Neurospora crassa OR74A: one gene and its partners. The protein of the gene in region 1 interacts with the protein of each later gene in a biochemical or structural test. Links are inferred from orthologs where the notes say so. Each region holds a gene or a part of one and is shown on either strand. Other genes may lie near its edges. The genes, in order: vel, NCU08297 and NCU06593.

What was found.
Region 2: of the proteins of vel (region 1) and NCU08297, one has a biochemical effect on the other in vitro, tested with the Saccharomyces cerevisiae proteins (2 studies listed by BioGRID). The link is inferred for Neurospora crassa OR74A from reciprocal best matches to the Saccharomyces cerevisiae genes CLA4 and CDC3.
Region 3: the proteins of vel (region 1) and NCU06593 interact in a test that uses a peptide from one of them, tested with the Saccharomyces cerevisiae proteins (3 studies listed by BioGRID, with this or other methods). The link is inferred for Neurospora crassa OR74A from reciprocal best matches to the Saccharomyces cerevisiae genes CLA4 and BEM1.

Annotation. Positions count from the first base shown.
Region 1 is NC_026503.1:3,746,416-3,750,589, reverse strand, and holds the start of vel (protein kinase CHM1), read right to left. Parts: upstream 2,801-4,174; 5' UTR 2,208-2,800; intron 2,137-2,207; 5' UTR 2,013-2,136; coding exon 1,999-2,012; intron 1,796-1,998; coding exon 1-1,795. UniProt on the Saccharomyces cerevisiae protein: Involved in budding and cytokinesis.
Region 2 is NC_026504.1:2,498,711-2,504,706, reverse strand, and holds the end of NCU08297 (cell division control protein 3), read right to left. Parts: intron 5,926-5,996; 5' UTR 5,824-5,925; coding exon 5,820-5,823; intron 5,078-5,819; coding exon 4,811-5,077; intron 4,756-4,810; coding exon 4,289-4,755; intron 4,236-4,288; coding exon 3,597-4,235; 3' UTR 2,405-3,596; downstream 1-2,404. Other genes in the region: NCU08296 (mito ribosomal protein S4), read left to right, coding at 235-279, 468-947, 1,050-1,886. UniProt on the Saccharomyces cerevisiae protein: Septins are GTPases involved in cytokinesis that assemble early in the cell cycle as a patch at the incipient bud site and form a ring approximate 15 minutes before bud emergence, which transforms into an hour-glass shaped collar of cortical filaments that spans both sides of the mother-bud neck.
Region 3 is NC_026504.1:1,740,593-1,748,369, forward strand, and holds NCU06593 (MAP kinase activator), read right to left. Parts: upstream 4,699-7,777; 5' UTR 3,466-4,698; coding exon 3,460-3,465; intron 3,074-3,459; coding exon 2,978-3,073; intron 2,920-2,977; coding exon 2,179-2,919; intron 2,121-2,178; coding exon 1,245-2,120; 3' UTR 240-1,244; downstream 1-239.

The DNA of each region.
Region 1 (4,174 bases):
GTTCACGATCAACTCCTTGCGCGGCTGGTGCGCGAGATCCATCTGCTTGATTGCAACCTGGCCGCGTCTTCTGGAAACGTTGGGATCCTGGCCCGGTCTCTCCCTGATCTTGGCGACGTACACGGAGCCAGAGGCACCCTGTCCGATCTTCTTCTGCTTGGAGTACTTGGCTTCGGGGTCTTCGTGAGACACAACTTCCCTTAGCTTCTGCATAACCTCCTTCTCCGACATGGTCGACATGCGAACATCCTTGGAACGCTCAGAAGCAGCGGGCTTGGACGTAAGGGCTGCTTCAGCGGCCTTGACGCCATCTTGAGGCTGCTTGGGACCCACGTTAAGCGGCTTCACGGTCGTAGGAATCTTGGATGGCTGGTTGGCCGATGGGTGAGGTGGTCGTGGCGGGGCCTGGCCGTTCTGGCTCCGTTGCGCCTGAGCCTGCTGTTCGGCCCGTCTCTGCGCCTGCGCCTGGGCAAGATCACGCTGTGAGCTGGAACTGGACTGCTGTGCGACGGGCGGGCGGCTCGAACTGGAACTTGGTGGGGGAGGCGCAGGTCTCTGAGCTTTGAGACTCGGTGCTTGCTGCAAGCCCTTGGGTGCTGGTGGAGCGGCGCGTGTTGGGTTGAAGCGATCGGCACCACCATAACCACCACCTCCAATCTCCTGCTGAGCCATAGGAGTCTTCGTCTTGGGAAGGGACGCATTATAAGCTTCCTGATCCCGGCGATCCCGCTCCTCCATCTCTCTCTGCTGGCGCTCCAGTTCGCGCCTTTGCTCCTCTCTCGCGCGCTCAGAGTTGTAGCTCGGCGACGCCTGCTGGCGCTGCTCGGGGGGTGATGAGCGAGAACTGGTGCCACCTTGCTGCTGCGGCGAGGATGGGTAGTTGGAGCTTGGGTTGCGTTGTTGCAACGGCTGCGTAGGGCGCGGCGGCGCGACGGAGTTTCCACCGCTCGGGTATCCGAGCTGCTTGCTCTGTGCGCTGTTCGATGGGGGAGTGGGAAAGTTGGGTGTGGGCGCTTGGCCGCCATTCTTGTTGAAATCGGAATAGAAATCGAGGACTTCAAAGACGGCTTGAGGGTTCCTTTCGTAGTCTTCTTGGGTAATGGCTGAAGAGTTGAGCAGCTTCGACCACTCAGGAGGCAGGCCGACGAACTCGCCGGTCTGGGGATCGAATCCGACGTGAACGGCATGCGAAAAGTTGGTAGGATTACTGACACCGCCCATGCCTGGGCAACGCGCGTAAATAAAGTCAATCCATTCATAAAGGTCGTCGTCGGCCTTCACGCGGATCTGAAGGGTCCTGATGCCATTTTCCTCCTCTCCGGGACTCGTGGAGGCACCGCTAGACTGCCTCTTGATCTCGAAAATGGTTCCTGCGGCCTCCACACGGCCGACATTGATAACGTCCTTGAGGTAGAGGGTATAGGCAACTTTACTGCTCTCGGCCTTGTGGAAATCCAGTGACTCCTTTCGTAGGATCAGGTACTTGTTCTTCCAAGGGTTGATGAAGTTCTTGCTCTCCTTGACACTGGCCCAACCTTGCTTGATGACGGCAAGGCCGCCGGTGCCGTCGTTGTTTGACATTTGTCTTTGGATGGGGAGGGCGATGGTCGAGCCGCTGTATGTACTAGTTACCCCTGGGGCAGGCGACCGGAGGCTCAGGTTGGACATGTTCCCAGGAAGGTTGGAGATGTTCCCGGGTGAATTGGTGTTGGGGGTGAGGCCGAGGCGGGGCTTGTCCGTGGGAGGTCGCGGCGCTGGGCCTGGGTTCATGAACGGCTCCCTCGAGTATATGTTGCTGTGGTTCAGGTCGAGGTTAGCATAATGTCCACGGACCCTGCTAGATTTCCAACAGGGGAAGGAATGAAGATGGGCCAAGGTAATGAAGCGAAGCTCCACTAGGGAAATTGACCAAGTAGCGGGAGCGAGATGTCATGTGGGAGAGGAGAGATTTGCGTGGTTGGGGCGAAGTGGGAGAAGCATAGCAGAGGGCGGGCATACCCATTTTGCGCCATTGTGCCGGATTCCAGTTACTCCTTGACTAGAGATAGGTCTGGTTGTTCTGGAGCCAGAAATAGACTGCGCGTAGTCGCGACGATCCCCTGAGTTGCGGGACCTGGAGTGTGACGGGTGTGCTTCCTATTGTCGCCGGGTCAATAGACGGTTCGAAAGGCGGGGTTGCGCATATGGTGGCAGGGTCGCCAACGCACCAGGAGGCCCAAAGATGAAGCCGGCTCCGTCCGAAAGACAAGGCGCAATGTGTACTAAAAGAATGGACCAGTATCAAACGGTGATGGTATAGGTGGTCAGTTGGCACAGGTGGGTTTGAGTTAGAAAAGGACTAAGCGAGTCGATTGCGACAGGGGAGAAGCAGCGACCAAGGAGAGGGTCGGTTCAGGCGCGTTCGAGCAAGACCAACAGGCGACCAGGGCGACATGTATTTGCGGTCCTGGCTCGATTACTTTTTGTTTCTTTAGTTGGATGCCACGGAAGGTTCAAAGCACGCCTCGTCGCAATGCTGTGTATTGCTGGTGCTGGTGCTGGCTGCTGTAGTGAATGGAAGACAGAAAGCCGAACGATGCGATGGCGGTCAGGCCAGACGATTGCCTGTCTGGTTCGCGAATCTGCGTTATCCTTGACGCCGGTGATCAACGGAGACAGGCTGGCGGGTGTCAAAGGGCAAGATGAGAGACCACGCTCGGAGTTGAAAGAAAGATGAGCAGAGTCGAAAGGGGTTGGCAAGGACTCCAGGCCGGCGCTGTGTGAGGTTGCAGTAGTAAGGGGTACACTACTGGTATTATTGCCTGTATGGGGCAAAAACGTGTAAGGGTCCTGGGATCCCGGTCGAGGTTTTGGTGCATCCAGGTTGTGGTGTCTTTCTTCTGGTACTTGGGTGATCCCATCTTCTACAACAACCAACGAGGGGACAGTACACTACCTCTACGCAGTAGGTACCTACCCACCTCACATATACCATCCATACCTAACTACCTTACCTACCTACGACCTATGGTCCAGACGCTCAACCCAGGAACAACAACAGTTAGCGATACGGGTGAGATGCCGTCCAGATGCCCTACTGTCTCCTCTTTGCGCTGAACATCTCTCACCACAGCAAGTTGAATGCCCGGTCGGATCCAAGAGTGGGAGCAGGGGCATTGTAAGGGTCCATCAAACCGTCAGTTACAGCTGCGGCACCCGTTCGAGCGACCATTGAACGTTGAAGCCTTGGACGGTTAGCGTGAGAATAGTGGGGAACGGGGCAGATGCAGTGCGCCAACGTGTGGAAGTGGCAGAGTAACCAAGACTGCGGCGGGAAAGGGGGGGGGGACAGCGCCGCGACCAGTCAGATCCATTGCAGACTTGAGAACGGGTACGTCTTCATCTTACTGCCTTGGCTCGGATGGATGCCGAGATACTTGCTTATGCAACACATTTTGTGCCTAGCGCGCAGGTACCGTCTTAACGCGGCTTATTGGCTTTTCCGTTTTTTTCTTATTTTTTATATCGACTTTACGCACCAGCGGCATGGTAAAAGAAGAAAGAAACGTCCGGCCACCGGGGAAGCCTGGAGTTCATTGCAATGGAAATTGATATGCTCTGCGCCAGTCTGGGACCTATGAAGTTGTAAATAACGATTGGGGAGTCCATCCCAAATATCTCTGCAGTTATTCCCTTCCCGGTCCTATATGCTGTCCGCCGTCGTAAGGCTCTCGCAGCACAGGCGTACAGATACCCATAAACTCGTTCTGAACACCCTGACCTTTGTGTGGTCTCAAAGATATTGGGTGCTACCTTCTTTGTCAGAGAGGTAAAGCCGTCATTACTTTAAACGCTTCATTCACCACCAACCTCTCGTCCGGTCCCGCTGAGGTGTTCGGGTCCGATGTGGACAGATCTCGACGGTACAAGACACCAATCTTAAACACCCTGGAGAATCTCTGCCACTAGTCCGACCGTGTTATGCCGCTACGATCAACCGACAGATAAGTCTCAGCTTTTAGACGAGGGTCATCGTACGTCGTCAATTAACACATGGATCACGTTCAGCAGCAAAAGCAACGGAGATGATACGAACGGTTCGACCAAGACAACTTTGAAGAATTCAAGGGTTTCTGGTCTTGTTTTCCCGCTGCGGAATGCGGATACGGGCATTCTTGAGGGACCTAGTGTTCCG
Region 2 (5,996 bases), on another chromosome or scaffold:
AGCGCGTGCTCCAATTCGGGTCTGAAATAATTTTCGGAGGACGGCGCCCGATAAGAGGTGGAAGGGCCCCGGGAAGCTCCCCTCGTTGGCAGTGCTGCTAGGTGCCCCGGACCGCTCCGGACTCGACAATCTCCAAACAACCTGCGCCGAACCGGTCCGTCCACTTCGCCAAAAGCACGGGGCCTACAGTCCGATCCGATCCCCCGAAGCTCCTCCAAACACACCACACCCAACATGAAGATCCGGAGGTTGTTCAAGTACCACAGTTTGAAGAAAAAGGTATGTGCTATTCGGTGTTTTATGCCGCCGTCGCCGGGTTTGCCGTTGGTCATCGTCGCCGCCGCCGCATCATCACCCCATTCGCCCCATTACCTACTACCTGCCAGTCCCATTGCCACGACACTCAACACCCACCACACGCGATCATGCTGACGTATTTTGTGTGCGCTTCTTCTTCTTCCGAATAGCCCATCAGGCCGACATGGAACAAATATAACCTGTACAACCTGGCTACGGCCGGGAGAGAACCCAGAATCAGCGGCAAGACATTCTTCCAGCAGAAATGGCTCGCCAAGTCCTTGACACGAGCATACCACGGCGAGCACATCAAGGAACGCAAATGGGCGCGCATGTTTAGCCGTCGCCTACCGGCCGTCGTCAACATGGACCCGGCATACATGGCCAAATATAACGGCAGCGAACAAGCCGCCGGCCGCGGTTCCGGCCTCTCAGAGCCCCCAGCCTACGAGAAGACCGCCGACGAGAAACCTGCCAAGCAAGTCATCGCCAACCCGGGCAGGAAGGTTCCCACGCCGTACGAGCAAATGACCTTTGCGCCTCTCGAGAGACGCCTCGATATCGCCATATTCAGAGCCCTCTTTGCCAGCAGTGCGAGACAGGCCCGCCAGATGGTTGTGCACGGTGCCGTCACCGTCAACGGCAAGAAGGCATGTACACCATCACAACGTTCCAATACCGAATCCCACAATACAGTGCACCCATGCCAAAGCTGCTTGTTTCGGCGCTAACATTACCCGATCCTTTTGCAGATGAAACACCCCGGTTACCTCCTGAACCCTGGCGATCTCTTCCAAGTCGACGTCGAGCGCGTCCTCTATGCGACCGGTGCGCCCAAGGACAAGAAGCTCCTCGCCGCGGCTATGAAGGCCGCCAAGAAGGAGCTTGCGGAGGAAGCACAGGAAGCCGCCGAAGAGAAGGATGCGGAGGCCGAGGAGGCCGAGGAAGGAGAGGCACAAGAAGCAGCCTCCAAGTCCGGCAAGAAGGAGAAGCAAGTCGACACCTCCAAGTTCGACGAGGCCTGGAACCGCAAGTACGAACTCCTGCAGCTCCAACGTCTGCTGCAGTACGCCAAGCACATCGCCGACTCGCCGTCTCACCAGCTCTCCGCGACGCGCAAGCAAGCATTGCGCGCTTTGAAGCGCGACATCAAGGCCGCCATCAAGCAAGCGCAGCGGCGCGACGGGTCCGTTTCGCCAACCGGTAACGTGGTGGACGACCTGACGATGCTTCTCGAGCGCCTTGCGGTCTCCCCTTCCAAGGCCATTCAGCAGGAGGAGGCGGCCAAGGAGCTGAGCAAGAAGCTTGACAAGCAGTCGCGCCAGGTGCTCAAGAAGGTGATCGAGTACAACGACGAGCACGAGGACAACGAGATCGACCCGAGCAAGCCGTACATGACCCCCTGGAGGCCGCGCAACTACATGTCCGCTTTCGCGTTCATCCCCCGCTACCTTGAGGTCAACCAGAACATCTGCGCGGCCGTCTACCTCCGCCACCCCGTGGCGCGCCCGGGCGAGTCCGAAGTACCGTCGCCTTTCTCCCCCACTATCAACCAACTCGCGTTCAACTGGTACTTACGGAGAGGTTAAAGGAGGTCTAGTTAGGAGCGAGGGAATGAAAAGGGGAGATGGAGGGAGGAACGGCAGTCACTCTCTGCCGTCTCAGAGCGGTAGAATTCGCCAATGGACGATTAGAGTCGCGCGCACCCAGTTTTTTGCATGTCGCGGGTACGCTCTATTGTGCTTGTTGCATCTTCAAGGCAACCTCGGATGATGTGATACTCTGCACCTGCTGCGGCTTCAGTTGGACCATGCGTTGGAAATCGGGTTCGGTCTCGATGAGAAAGCTGCGAAGTGGGCGGCAAATCTCGCGATTCCCGGAGAAAAAGGAGACGGGGATGGATCATGCATGAGATGAGTTGACTTCATACGTATTTTGGGCACATTGCGCGTAACAGTTTGTTCGTTCCTCAATACCCGAACAATCTGTTGCAGACTCATTCAGTTCGCCCCCTTCGGCATCGATGTACGCTACATGTATCATTACCACTATTAACTAAATGGATATAAAGAGGGGCATAGACAAATTTCCTTCTTCTTTGCGTAAGAAAGTCATGAGACAGATGAGAACCACCGAGACACCTACGGTCTCCTCTCTGAAAGCTCAGTGCTTATATAGTAAAATTGCCAATCATAGCATTGTCGATCGAGAGGAGCAGTGCAAAGGTAAACACTTATCACTGAGGAAGACGGCAAAATTCGCCTTGAGAGCGCGAGAGAGAAAAAGGCTAAGAAATAACTATCTAGGAGAGGCTAAGTGTACGTTGAGTGTGTGTATGTTTTATGTGGTAAGCAAGAACCCTCCGTGGCTGGAGAGCGAAGCACCAGTTGAGAGAATCGGCCGGAAATGTTGGGTTGGGTATGACCGACCGTAAACCGTGAAAAGAAAAACCTCCTACAAGAATTCCCCGTGAAATAAAAACATCTGATCGCCGATGAAAGCAGTTAATAAAATACATGTGTTGTTGGGATATCTGGTCGTTCGTTGCTTTTCGTCCAAGTGAGATTTCCCGCCTGTTCCCTTACGCCCCCTTTGCAACTTGCATATGGTGCAACGTCGCGAGCACAATTCAAACCCGACTCCTTCTGATCCCTCTATGAGCTTCTCGGTTGTGAATTGCTCCTCGCTCCCGCCAGCCACAGCATCCTAACCGACTTGTCAGTCATGGTGGCAGCCGGAAACATGATGTTGCCGACAGTCGGTCAAGAAGACAAGGGCAAGCAGAGCCGCGAAAGGGAGTTGAGGGCCTGATTGCTGCTGCGCCGCAAACATCTGATGGGGAACAGCCAACGAATTATCTCTCTTTCTTCTCCCTCATATTTTCGGAACTCAACTCCCTAAAGCAGATAAGAGGATATATCTGTTGGAACCATGCTGCCATTGTGAAGTAAGAGATTCTCGAAAAAGCTCCTCCGGCCCAATTACATCTGCATTAGCTTTTCAAGAACAAAGTCGACCGGACCGCACCCCGTCCCAACGACGGAACACACCGGCTTTTGGAAATTTGACCGTTTACGGCAGCCAACAAATTTCTAACAGAAACCCATCCGGTTATGAAGGGATCTGCAAAGAGACTGTTGGCTTGCGAGGGGATCCTCCCGCAGGATTAGGAGGTTATGATTAGAAGATGAACAAATGGAAAACAGAGAATGAAGGAATGAAGCGGCAGGCCGAGGTGTATGCGGGATAACATGACAGTACAACAGTCGTGAGAGGCGGGTGAAGTTGTTGCCGCAAAATTATCGGAGAGAAAATCCCTTCCTCTTTGTCGGCTCCTTCTCAATTGGCCGCCCACTTTCGATTCGGGACTTCTTCTCCTCGAGCTCCAGTCGTTGGCGCTCCAGCTGCTCCTTCATCTCCCTATGACGAGCATACAGCTCCTCTTCGCTCTGCTTCAGCTTGGATTCCTTTTCAGCAACCTTTTGCTGGAAGACCATCTTCATTTCGGCTTCCATCTTCGCAAGCTTCTGTTCGTGGAGGGCGCGCTCTTCCTCCTGCTTGACGGCTGGGTTCACCTCCTTGAAGACGCTTGGATCTTGAGAGACGCCCATAGCGATCAACTTGTCCGTGCGGTAGTTCTCGTAAAGGACGTTGTTGGTGTGCTCCTTGAGCTCCTCCATGTGAGTACGGATGAGCATCTGGCGGAGCTTCACAAAGTCGCAATGCTCCTCATTGTCCACCTCGATCACACCCCAAGGGTAACGGCGACCGCGAACCTTACGGCCATCGGCGTTTGTGATCTCGTTGGTCGCACCGACAACAGCGAAGGGGACCTTGGACATGATCTCGTTGTTCTCCGCGATGGTCTCCTCATCGTCGAGTTCGTAGCGAGGGCCCTCAAAGATTTGCACCTTGTGGTACTTGATATCCGCAAGAATCTATGATAAACTGTTAGTATTGATCGCAGAACCAGTAGGGCCCGAAGACATACTCTAGCCTTGAAAGCAGCAATCTCGTCATCGGTGAGAGTATCCGACTTGGCGATGACGGGAATCAAGTTGACCTTGGTGTGGAGACGCTTCATGACCTCGATATCAAGAGGCTTGAGCGAGTGACCGGTGGGCTGGATGAAGAACACACAGGCATGGATCCTGTTGTCCACAATGTTCATGCGGTTCACCTTGTTTTCGGCATCCAAGTAAGCATCGAAGCGCTGTTCGATGTTGTCCACAATAGGACGCCAAGACTCGTCGTTGTTGACAAAGTCGCCGAAGCCAGGAGTGTCAACGACGGTCAAACGGAGGCGAACACCAGCCTCTTCAATATCGGCGCTGATAGACTGAATGGTGACAGTCTTGGGAACAATGTCGAGGCTAGGTCCCTTGCGCTCCTTGGGAGGGTAAAGCGAAGTGTTAAAGAGAGTGTTAACGAGGGTCGACTTTCCGAGTCCCGATTCACCTGCATGTCTAGAATTAGTAAATCTCCTTCAATGGACACAGAAAGCGTCACATACCAACAACCATGACATTGAAGTTGAAGCCCTTGCGGACGCTCTTGCGGTGCCATTGGTTGGGAAGGTTGGCGAAACCAACGTATCCCGTCAGCTTCCTTCGGACAATGTTTCGGTTGTCGCTCAAGGTAGAAGGGAGAGCTGCGGCCACGGTGTCAGAACCAGAAGCATCTTGATGTTGTTTCGTCTGAGATGGCAATGGCTGGGAAGTCGATGACTGAGGTACGGGAGCCGCCCTAACAGGAGGAGAGGTGGGAATACCGTTCGAAGCTGTCATAGAGCCAACGTTAGCATGATATCCATCATCTTGTGCCCAAAAGTATGTAATGTATGTCCAGTCAAGTGCGCGGAGCTCTCAACTACTAGAGGATAAAGGCCGCTTCGGTAATGGCTCCTGGGACACAGTCGGATCCGTAGCCTTGGGATATAGCTCGTCGTATGAGAATTGTTGGGTCATTGGCAACGTCGGGGCCGGGTCCTCGATTTCCAGCAAGCTCTTGTATCGGCGTAGAGCCTTCTTGATCATCTCGTTGTTCTCCCCAAGGGGCAAACTGCTGGTCCGTGTTCCGGAGACGGAAACGGGGGACACGGGACCATCCCGCGAGGCGCTTCCATCGATGGTTTCAGCGAGACTGGCGAAGCTCTTCTCAAACTGAACACTTTTGGCGCGGCCCCGGGTGGCATTGTGCATCATGGTAGCGAAATGCATTGCAGCGGAGTCGTTTGAACAAAGTATTTGGGTGGTAAGATGGTTCTCTTCCAAAAAAAAGACGGTTCCCAAGAAACGGTAGATGGCAAGCGGACAACGAATGTGATGATCGTATCAGAAGAACGAGCTGTGATGTTGGTGGGGGGAAGGGAGATGAAAAGTCGGCGAAGGGCGGCGTTGAGTCGGGTTTTGTTGAGCCCTTGGACCGTAGAGTAAGGTACGAGGAGGTCGGTGATCCGGCGATGCTTCCTGCGGCTTGGTCGAATGGGCAGGTTAAGTAGAGGACAGAAAGCAAGCGCTTACCCATTATAGCAGAAGGTACCGTGATGGTGATGTTTCGGTCGAGTCGAGAAGTGAACGGTTGATGAAAAAGGTAAAAAAATTCGGGATCGTAAGGAAGGCGCGAAGTCTGGAAGGTAAACGAATAGCGTCAGTCATTGAGATGGAAGCTGAATTGCACCCGGCATGTGTCTTCCTCCT
Region 3 (7,777 bases), on another chromosome or scaffold:
AAGCATTACATTGGTAGTGTGAAACGGCATCGACTTCGTTACTTCCAACTTTGTAAATATGTAACGAACTTTGACTGATTGTTGTGGAAGTGTCATTGTTACCATTGCTTCCTTTACCAGAACAAGAATGCGATGTATGTTTTCGATGGGCTTGGCATTTGCCGTAATTGTGCATTTATTCAACTTCCAATGACATTGTATAGCAGATGTCACATGCAATTATCGGAAGTCGCGATATCTTCAAATGTAGATTTATGCTACTTACTGGCTGCGAGTAGACCACCACTACTCTCTTTTCTCCGGTCATCTTTCGCTCCCAATTTTTTTATTACCAAAAACACCTTGACTGCACATGGATATCTTCAAATCTCACCTACACTGCAGAAACGATACCCCGTGTCCCCCGCCATCTCGGTCAACATCCTGAAACACAAAAAGCCTGTGGGTGTAAATTCATTTCATTCATCATCCATTCACAAGGGCCCCTTCTTCTTCTTCTTGTCCCTTGTCATCACCCTCAGCACCACCATTACCACCTCCACCACCTCTTCTTATGGTAATCCACCACCCATCTTCGACCTCGAGTAGCAACGTAGTTTGGTATCAAATTTAATCCTTCCACCCTCCCCCACGCCTAACCAAGAATCCATCTCCCAACTTGGCCCCACCGCAGCCTTCCAGCAAGCGCGCAGATCCTCCCCTGACTCTACTTCCTTCCTTTTTTTCACCATGGTCACAGACTCCTTTGGCCTGACTCCTGAGCTGTTCCAAAAAAATATCACCGTATCCCAAAGTCCCTGCCGCATCCAAAATGCCCCATGACCATCTGCGTCCCAGAAATTTTAGTGAGTGGAGAGAGACGAGCCGATCAATTCGAAATGTATTACAACGACTGAACCGCGAAGTCCTATATGATTTACGTATGCGTTTGGGTATATAGCGTGGGGTATAGATATCGCATTGTGTGTTGGATAAAGAGCAGTTTGTTGGCAGCCGTCAACGAGAAAAGATGGTATGTAACTGAGTGCGCAAATGAGCAATTCCCTCCACGTTGTTCGCCTTGCTTGTGTATGTAGCCATCTGGCGTGACTTTTGAAGGCCGAGCGCTTAGTTTACCCAGTTGCTGCCTTCGAATCAAATGTTCGTGAAACATGGCGCATGTGACCATGGTATCCGAATGCGCTGTGTATCGGAATATGGCCAACAAACGTGTATGGGTTGGGGTTTCAAAGTCCGTCAGTCCATTATTCCACGTAAACGAGCAGCTTTTCGTTCCGTTGCAGTGCAATATCCAGATCTTCGTCGTTCATCAGAGGAGGCTTCTCGCCACTCGCGTCGTCCTTGTAACTTAGCTGAACGTCCTCGCCCTGAGGAATCTTGAGACGATCCAGAATCTTGTCATGGAGAGCTTGGAATGGAATATCAGTGGGTACGCGGATGGCGATGATGTCGCCGTTGAAGTGCAGTTTCACTTTCATCTGTGAACCACCCTGCATAATAGCAGGTGACAATGAGGTCTGTGAAGCCTGCCCAGGTCCCGGAATCTGTTGGCCGTTGCCAATGCTCAGCTGCCTCTGAGGAACACCGAGACCGGCAGAATATCTGTTGCCGGCTGTGCTCTGTAGTGAGAGGCCGTCGGCTGGTGAGTCAGAGGACGGACCAGAGCCTCCAGAGAATCGGTATTCCTCGCGAGCAACGCTAGGGTCGATTTCGTAATCACCCTCTCTAGGAGAAAAGAACTGCTTGACCAGGTTACAGCGGGAGATGTGTGGCGGTTGTTCCAGTAGACTTTTAACGTAAGAGTCAAGGTTGTGGCGGCGGCCTTCCGTAATCGCATCAGTCACGTAATTAACAGGACCGGGCATGTAGGGTAGCGTCCGCTGCTTGCCGCCTGTAGTTCCAGCTTCAAGAGGGAACTCGGTTAGGAGCGCGATTTGGAAGTCGTAGAAATCCTCGTAGTATCGCGAAAGTTCGAAGCATCGACCATCCTCCAGTTCGGCTTCAATAACAAACCAGTACTTGTCCTCGGCAAAGCAGTACCTCGGAACCCTGGCTGCGATGGGTGCGTATAGTGTCGAGGTTGGCCTCGAATAGGATTGTCCTTGAGCCTGTATCTGTTGCTGCAAAGACCTGTTAGTACAAACACGCACGCAAAGTAAGTGGACAGAATACACGTACCTGGGTATGAGTAGTCTGCTGGCTCAACCGGGCGCTTCCTTGCAAAGTTAAGCGGTTCATGGCCTGGTCAAGTGGTGGTTGGCCACCACCGCCACCACCAACATCGAACTTGCCGAGCGTTATGCTCGAGTTCTTATATTCCGCAGCCATCTTCTTCCACTCCTCGACCTTTGGAATCCCAGCTTTTCGTATGGCATCATGGGGGTTCGGGACAGGGGTGTTACTCGCCATGTCCCGGATCTCAACAAAGGATACGGGAATCAGACCCGGGCCGCCAAGTCTTCCGATGGGCTTAGCCACGAACCATTCGGGGTTCGACTGGGCAATGACAATGATGGCCTCGCCCTGCTTGGCTTCCAATTCGTCTGCCCGTTCGGCTTGGAAATCGTACAAAACGACACCATAAACCATGGCTCCATTCTTGCCAGGCGTTTTCGACATCCGATTCGCGGCGTTTGCTCCAGGAGGCGAGGCCGCCGAGCCTTCGCCGTATCCAGAATCACTATCTACGGTCTTCAAACCCAGTGAACCGGTTTGAGACTGGCCGCTATCGCGTTCCGTACGTCCAAGGGCCTGGAAATAAGCGACGGGCACGAGACCACGAGCGTCTGGTAGCGCAGGGTTGCACGCCTCATACCACTCTGGGTCATTTTCACGACCGATGACATGGAAGAAATCGCCGCGTGAAAAGCTAAGCTCCTGTGCATTTTGTGCTTCGTAATCGTAGAGAGCTTTTATAACCTGTGATAACAAGTTTAGCCTAAGCGCCTTGTGGCTGACACCTTGTTACGAGACATACCTTCTTTGGAGGGACGATGGCGACGGCAGATTTCGGTTGAATAGTAATATGAGGTTTGGAGTCCTTCTCTCCACCCTTGATGGACCTTCGTAGAGCCTTAAAACCGCGTGACATTGTTAGTTGCCAGAACGACGAAACCGCAGTATTGAAATGAGTAGTCCGACGAGGCCAAGAAAATTCGAGAGGTGCTGTGGGTGTAGATGGAGCAGACACTAAGAAAAAGGATTCTTCCGGTTCACGCAAGCTGTATTGCATCGTGACGAATTGGCCAAGGCAAGAACGCCTATGTGATGGTGTATGAATACCTGAGCCGTAGCCCGATCCTATCTCTCATGTCCCCAATAGCAGTGAAGCCTCTGCTATACAATCACGAGGGCTGTTTCCTGGGGAACGAGCAAAAACGATCGGACTGAAGAGGAGGAGGGACGGGGAAGGGAAGAGAGAGGGGATGGCAGAGCACAGAACAGCGGGGAATGACGTACCTTCATCTTGTCCGACAGCGATACTCAGACGACTTGTAAGCTATGTGTACACAAACCAAAACCGGAACTATTGTGCTATACACAGAGAGAAACAGGAACGGCTGACGGGGTGAGAGGCGTCAGCAAACAACTTTTGGAGCGGGCGTCCTGGTGTCGGCGTGCGCGGGCAATCGTGGTTGGGGTTACGCCGACTCAAATGACGGACGGCGAGAGGGCTTGCCTAGGATCCCTCTGGGGTTGGTCCTGGGCGGTTCTGCTCGTGTGTGTGGTGTGTGTGTGTGTGTGTCGTGGAGGGTGTTGCTAGGTGGAATCTGTGTAACGATCCAAATGTGCCGTATGTATCGGTCGGATGGGAGCCGGGAAAGCAGCGCGGCGATGACGGGAGTGGATATCGCGGACGGGGTCGTTATCTGCTGCACTAGTGTTTGCGACCGTGCGAACGTAAGGGAGACGTAATTTGGAAAGCAGCGGTTGTCCAGCTAATTTCGGCGACCGTTTCGTGTAAAATGGTCGCGCCCCAATACTTCTGTTCCCCAAGTGGATAGCTGACCCCAAGTTCGCTGTCTGGCCGAGTTTGCCTCAATCTTGGCTTTCCGTCTTTGTCTGAGCCTGATCAGGGCCGCCTGGCGTGTGGGCGTGTGGTGTTGATGCAATTCTCTTGTTCCTTTGTTCAGCCGCAATGCCGACTGCCTAGACCCAATGCTCAATGCGCAAGTCCCAGTCCGGCGAGCGCTTCTAGAATGTCTAAGTAGTGGTGGACAATCCGCCGGGAGTTGCGTTGGGTGTTGCGACGAGTGTTGTCGGCGATGATGGACTTGACTGTCGCAGTAGGAAGGTTGGTTGTCGAGAGTTGGAACTGGTGATGAGTGAACGAAGCGAGCGAACGGGCAGGTGGGAATGGAAACTGGAAACTGCACGGTGGCGGGGAAGGATCAGGATCAGGTGGGATATATGGCCTGCGTGCCTTGCGTGCTAGTCCTCGGGACGGGCAGCAATAGCATTAAAAAAATAATAAAAAGGGAGATAGCAACAGCCCAAAGCCAAGCTTGCAACGGAAGCAGCAAGGGTGATCACCAAGGGTCGGGTCCAGGTGTGTTCTCGCAGAGTGGAAGCCGACAGGGTGTGGAGGTGGTGGCCGGAGATGGCTCGAAGACGGGCGGGTAGGTGTGATGAAGGTCACAAGCAAGTCACCAGCCTAGCCGAGACGGACGGCATGGAACATGTTGGAAAAACAGCCACTCAGGCTTGCTTATTCGCCTAGTGTCTGTTAGTGTCTGCTAGTTTATGTCCGTGTCCTGACCGTGAAAGGGTGGCTGCCTCTATCTAGCCGTTAGCATCCGCATGACAATCGGCATGACAATGGACGGCCAAGGACCTCGACTTAAGAGGGGAATTGTAGCGTTGCAGCAGCGCAGAGGCCGCGCGGGCAGGTACCTGAAGGCACCCCGGCCTGGTTGATTGGCGCAGTTGCTGCCCTGCATGTTGGTGCAATTGGAGAGCGCCGCCAGGGTTCTCACGTCCAGAGGGACCCACCCTCCCTGGACCTGGCTGTGGTGGATTCGAATTGGCTTTCGTTCTTAGGTACCTCCACTGTTTCTTGGCCGCTCTCGATCTTTGGGATTCCGGACGTGCCCACCGCGATACGACCAGGAACTTTGCGACAAACGAATGAAAGAAGTCGGCCAACGTCAAATCTCAACTGAAACCAACCAGCTTGCTAGTCTTACACGATCTGATCAAAGATGAGCCGCGCGCAATGAGGCCATTGAAAAGCTAAGATTGCTGCTCCCTCAGGTATTCTCCGTTGGTATCTTTGTCGCTGTCATTGCCTGGCCTAAGATATGTGTGCGTGCTAGTGTGCATGATATTGTACATATCTTTGAAGCCACTGCATATGCATCGTGATCGCGCTTGTCATAGCGGAAACTGTGGTTGGTTTGCTGAGTCGAGTCGACAACCAGGGTGTTATGGACACGGTACCTGAGGATTTTTTCTCACTTCTCCAACCTCAACTGAAGGATTGATTGCTTCATTCTCGAGTCTGTTCCGTCACTACCCATCCAAGTGACTTGAAAGGCGTCGTCGTCGACAACAAGTCGATGCTGTGAGGCAGGAATATGCCTGCTGTTAGTGCATCAACTCATACGATGCGTCATGAGATGTTCAAAGCCCACACCTTGTCAATGCATTGACATCGGGCTCCATCATAACGTCGGTGGACTTGAAAGCCGAAGGGGACTCGATAGAATGCAAGGCCTCCAAGACGGTTCACAAGCAACCCCTAGTAGGAAAAAGCCTAGTACTAGCATCACTGGATTGACGCTGACATATGTCCTTCTGATGGCGACTTAGCTCGGGATTTTCAGATCTACCTATGTTTGGCAGATTCATTCTACACAGTCCGAATCTCCTTCATTGGTGCAGCAAAAAGCATCGCGATCAAATTTTAGGTAGATATCGGTTCTCGGTCTCGGGGTATTTCGGATGAAGCTCCGCGGCCTGTGCCTGACTAATCAGAACAACCCAACCCAACAGCGAACAAGGAGCATTGGCGTCTAGACTCGATAGAGACAGCACTGTAACGGCCTGGTAGGGCTCTGCCGCAAAGCTCCCGATTTTGGAATCTGGGCATTAACCGATCCAGTTTTTTCTTTCTTTTCTTATTCTTTTGCTTAACAAATCTCACTTTTTGTCATTTCGGGGTTTCTGTTCGGCCTTTGTATCATGTTCATCTCATTCTGGCCACAACAATAATATGCGAGCTCCTAGAGGGAATCATAAACACGAGAATAGTGCAAGTGGACGGACGTCCTTCGAATACTCAACATCTTCACCCTCTCTATTGGACATGAACAACGCCCAAGAAAAGCCGCCAATTGCCATGTTTTCCATGGCAATGGTTTCAACCCTCTTTCCATTTATCGATGCACGACTTCTACGTACATGCACGAGGTTTGACCAATCGGGATGTGACGCGAGGAGCACACGACGGGCCGGGATGCCCGCTGGCGCACCTGTAAGCAATGAGGCAGCGTGGTATTTTTCCTTTTTCCACATGGTATGGTGTCTATCTTTCGCCTCACCAGCCACCGCTTCAATTCGACCCAAGGTTAAGTTAGCAACTGCATCAAGAAGCAAACGCGTAGCATGGAGGTTCGTCACATCTGCTTGCAATGCGGGCAGAAGTCGAAGGACCCGACCCTTTTCCACCATTGATTATGATGCGCGGCCGATTGTGTTGGCCTCCGGCTCCCCGTACTCTGACTCAAAAGACAACAAGGATGGCATCGATATCGACGGCGCACAATATGACTGTGTTGTGTGCTGGAGCTCACTAAGTACGTTCTTATTTTGCTAACTGTAAGACATGCCCACTCAACCTCCCTGCTCTTAGCATTGTTCCCTTAACGCCAAACACCTGAGTTACCTGTACTAGCATGAAGAAGGAACAAAGAAAAAAAGACAAGGGACAAATGCAAGCAGTTTTGACACCCCGAGACGCCAAAACCCTATGCTCGCTGACCCAAACCACCACCCAAAGATGCCGACACCGGAACGCAAGGGATACTGAAAAATTGTTGAATAAGAGAGCGGTGCCTGTAAGGACGCATAGAAGGAGAGCAGGGTGCCACTACAGCACCATAGCAACTAATGCTGCTGCTTCCACGTCGCCAAAGGTCACCTCCGCATGACCCTAATGCTTGCTAAAACAAGAGACCCCGTGAGCCGACACGTCGAGATCCTCCGGCAAGACACATTGATCGGGAAAGAAGGGGGTCGATGTGCGAAGACGCCATCTATCATCCTGTCCACCGAGAATGGGTTCCGAAAACGGTGGATATTACGTCTCCATTTTTGAGTAGAGTAGGCAGATTCGAATACTGCACGCCTCAACCACGTTTGAGGTCAATTAGGTTGACCTGATGCTGGCAAATGACATTGAAGAACAGGATCTGCGCCTGTCCTGAAGGAACTAGCTGAAAAGGTAAGTCGGACTGCGTTGCAAGTGGCAACCTGGCGGATCGTGAGGTCGTGAGACGACTCGGGGGAAGAAGTGGTTTTCGTCAGTGTAAGAGCTCCACAAGGCATGACGTGGGCTTCCTCTAACGCATTCCACGTTACTATTCAGGGAGTAACATCGGAATTGACAACGAAGAAACGGAGATAGAAAACCCGTCGGTATTCTCTATCGCCGAAATCCCCCATGAGGTGTTGGCGATAGAAGCCCAGGTCGCAAATGTCGTGGGGTAGGACAGCGACATAGGTCGACGAAGGGCGTGCTATCAATAATATCAAACTACTGCATGACGACGCAAGG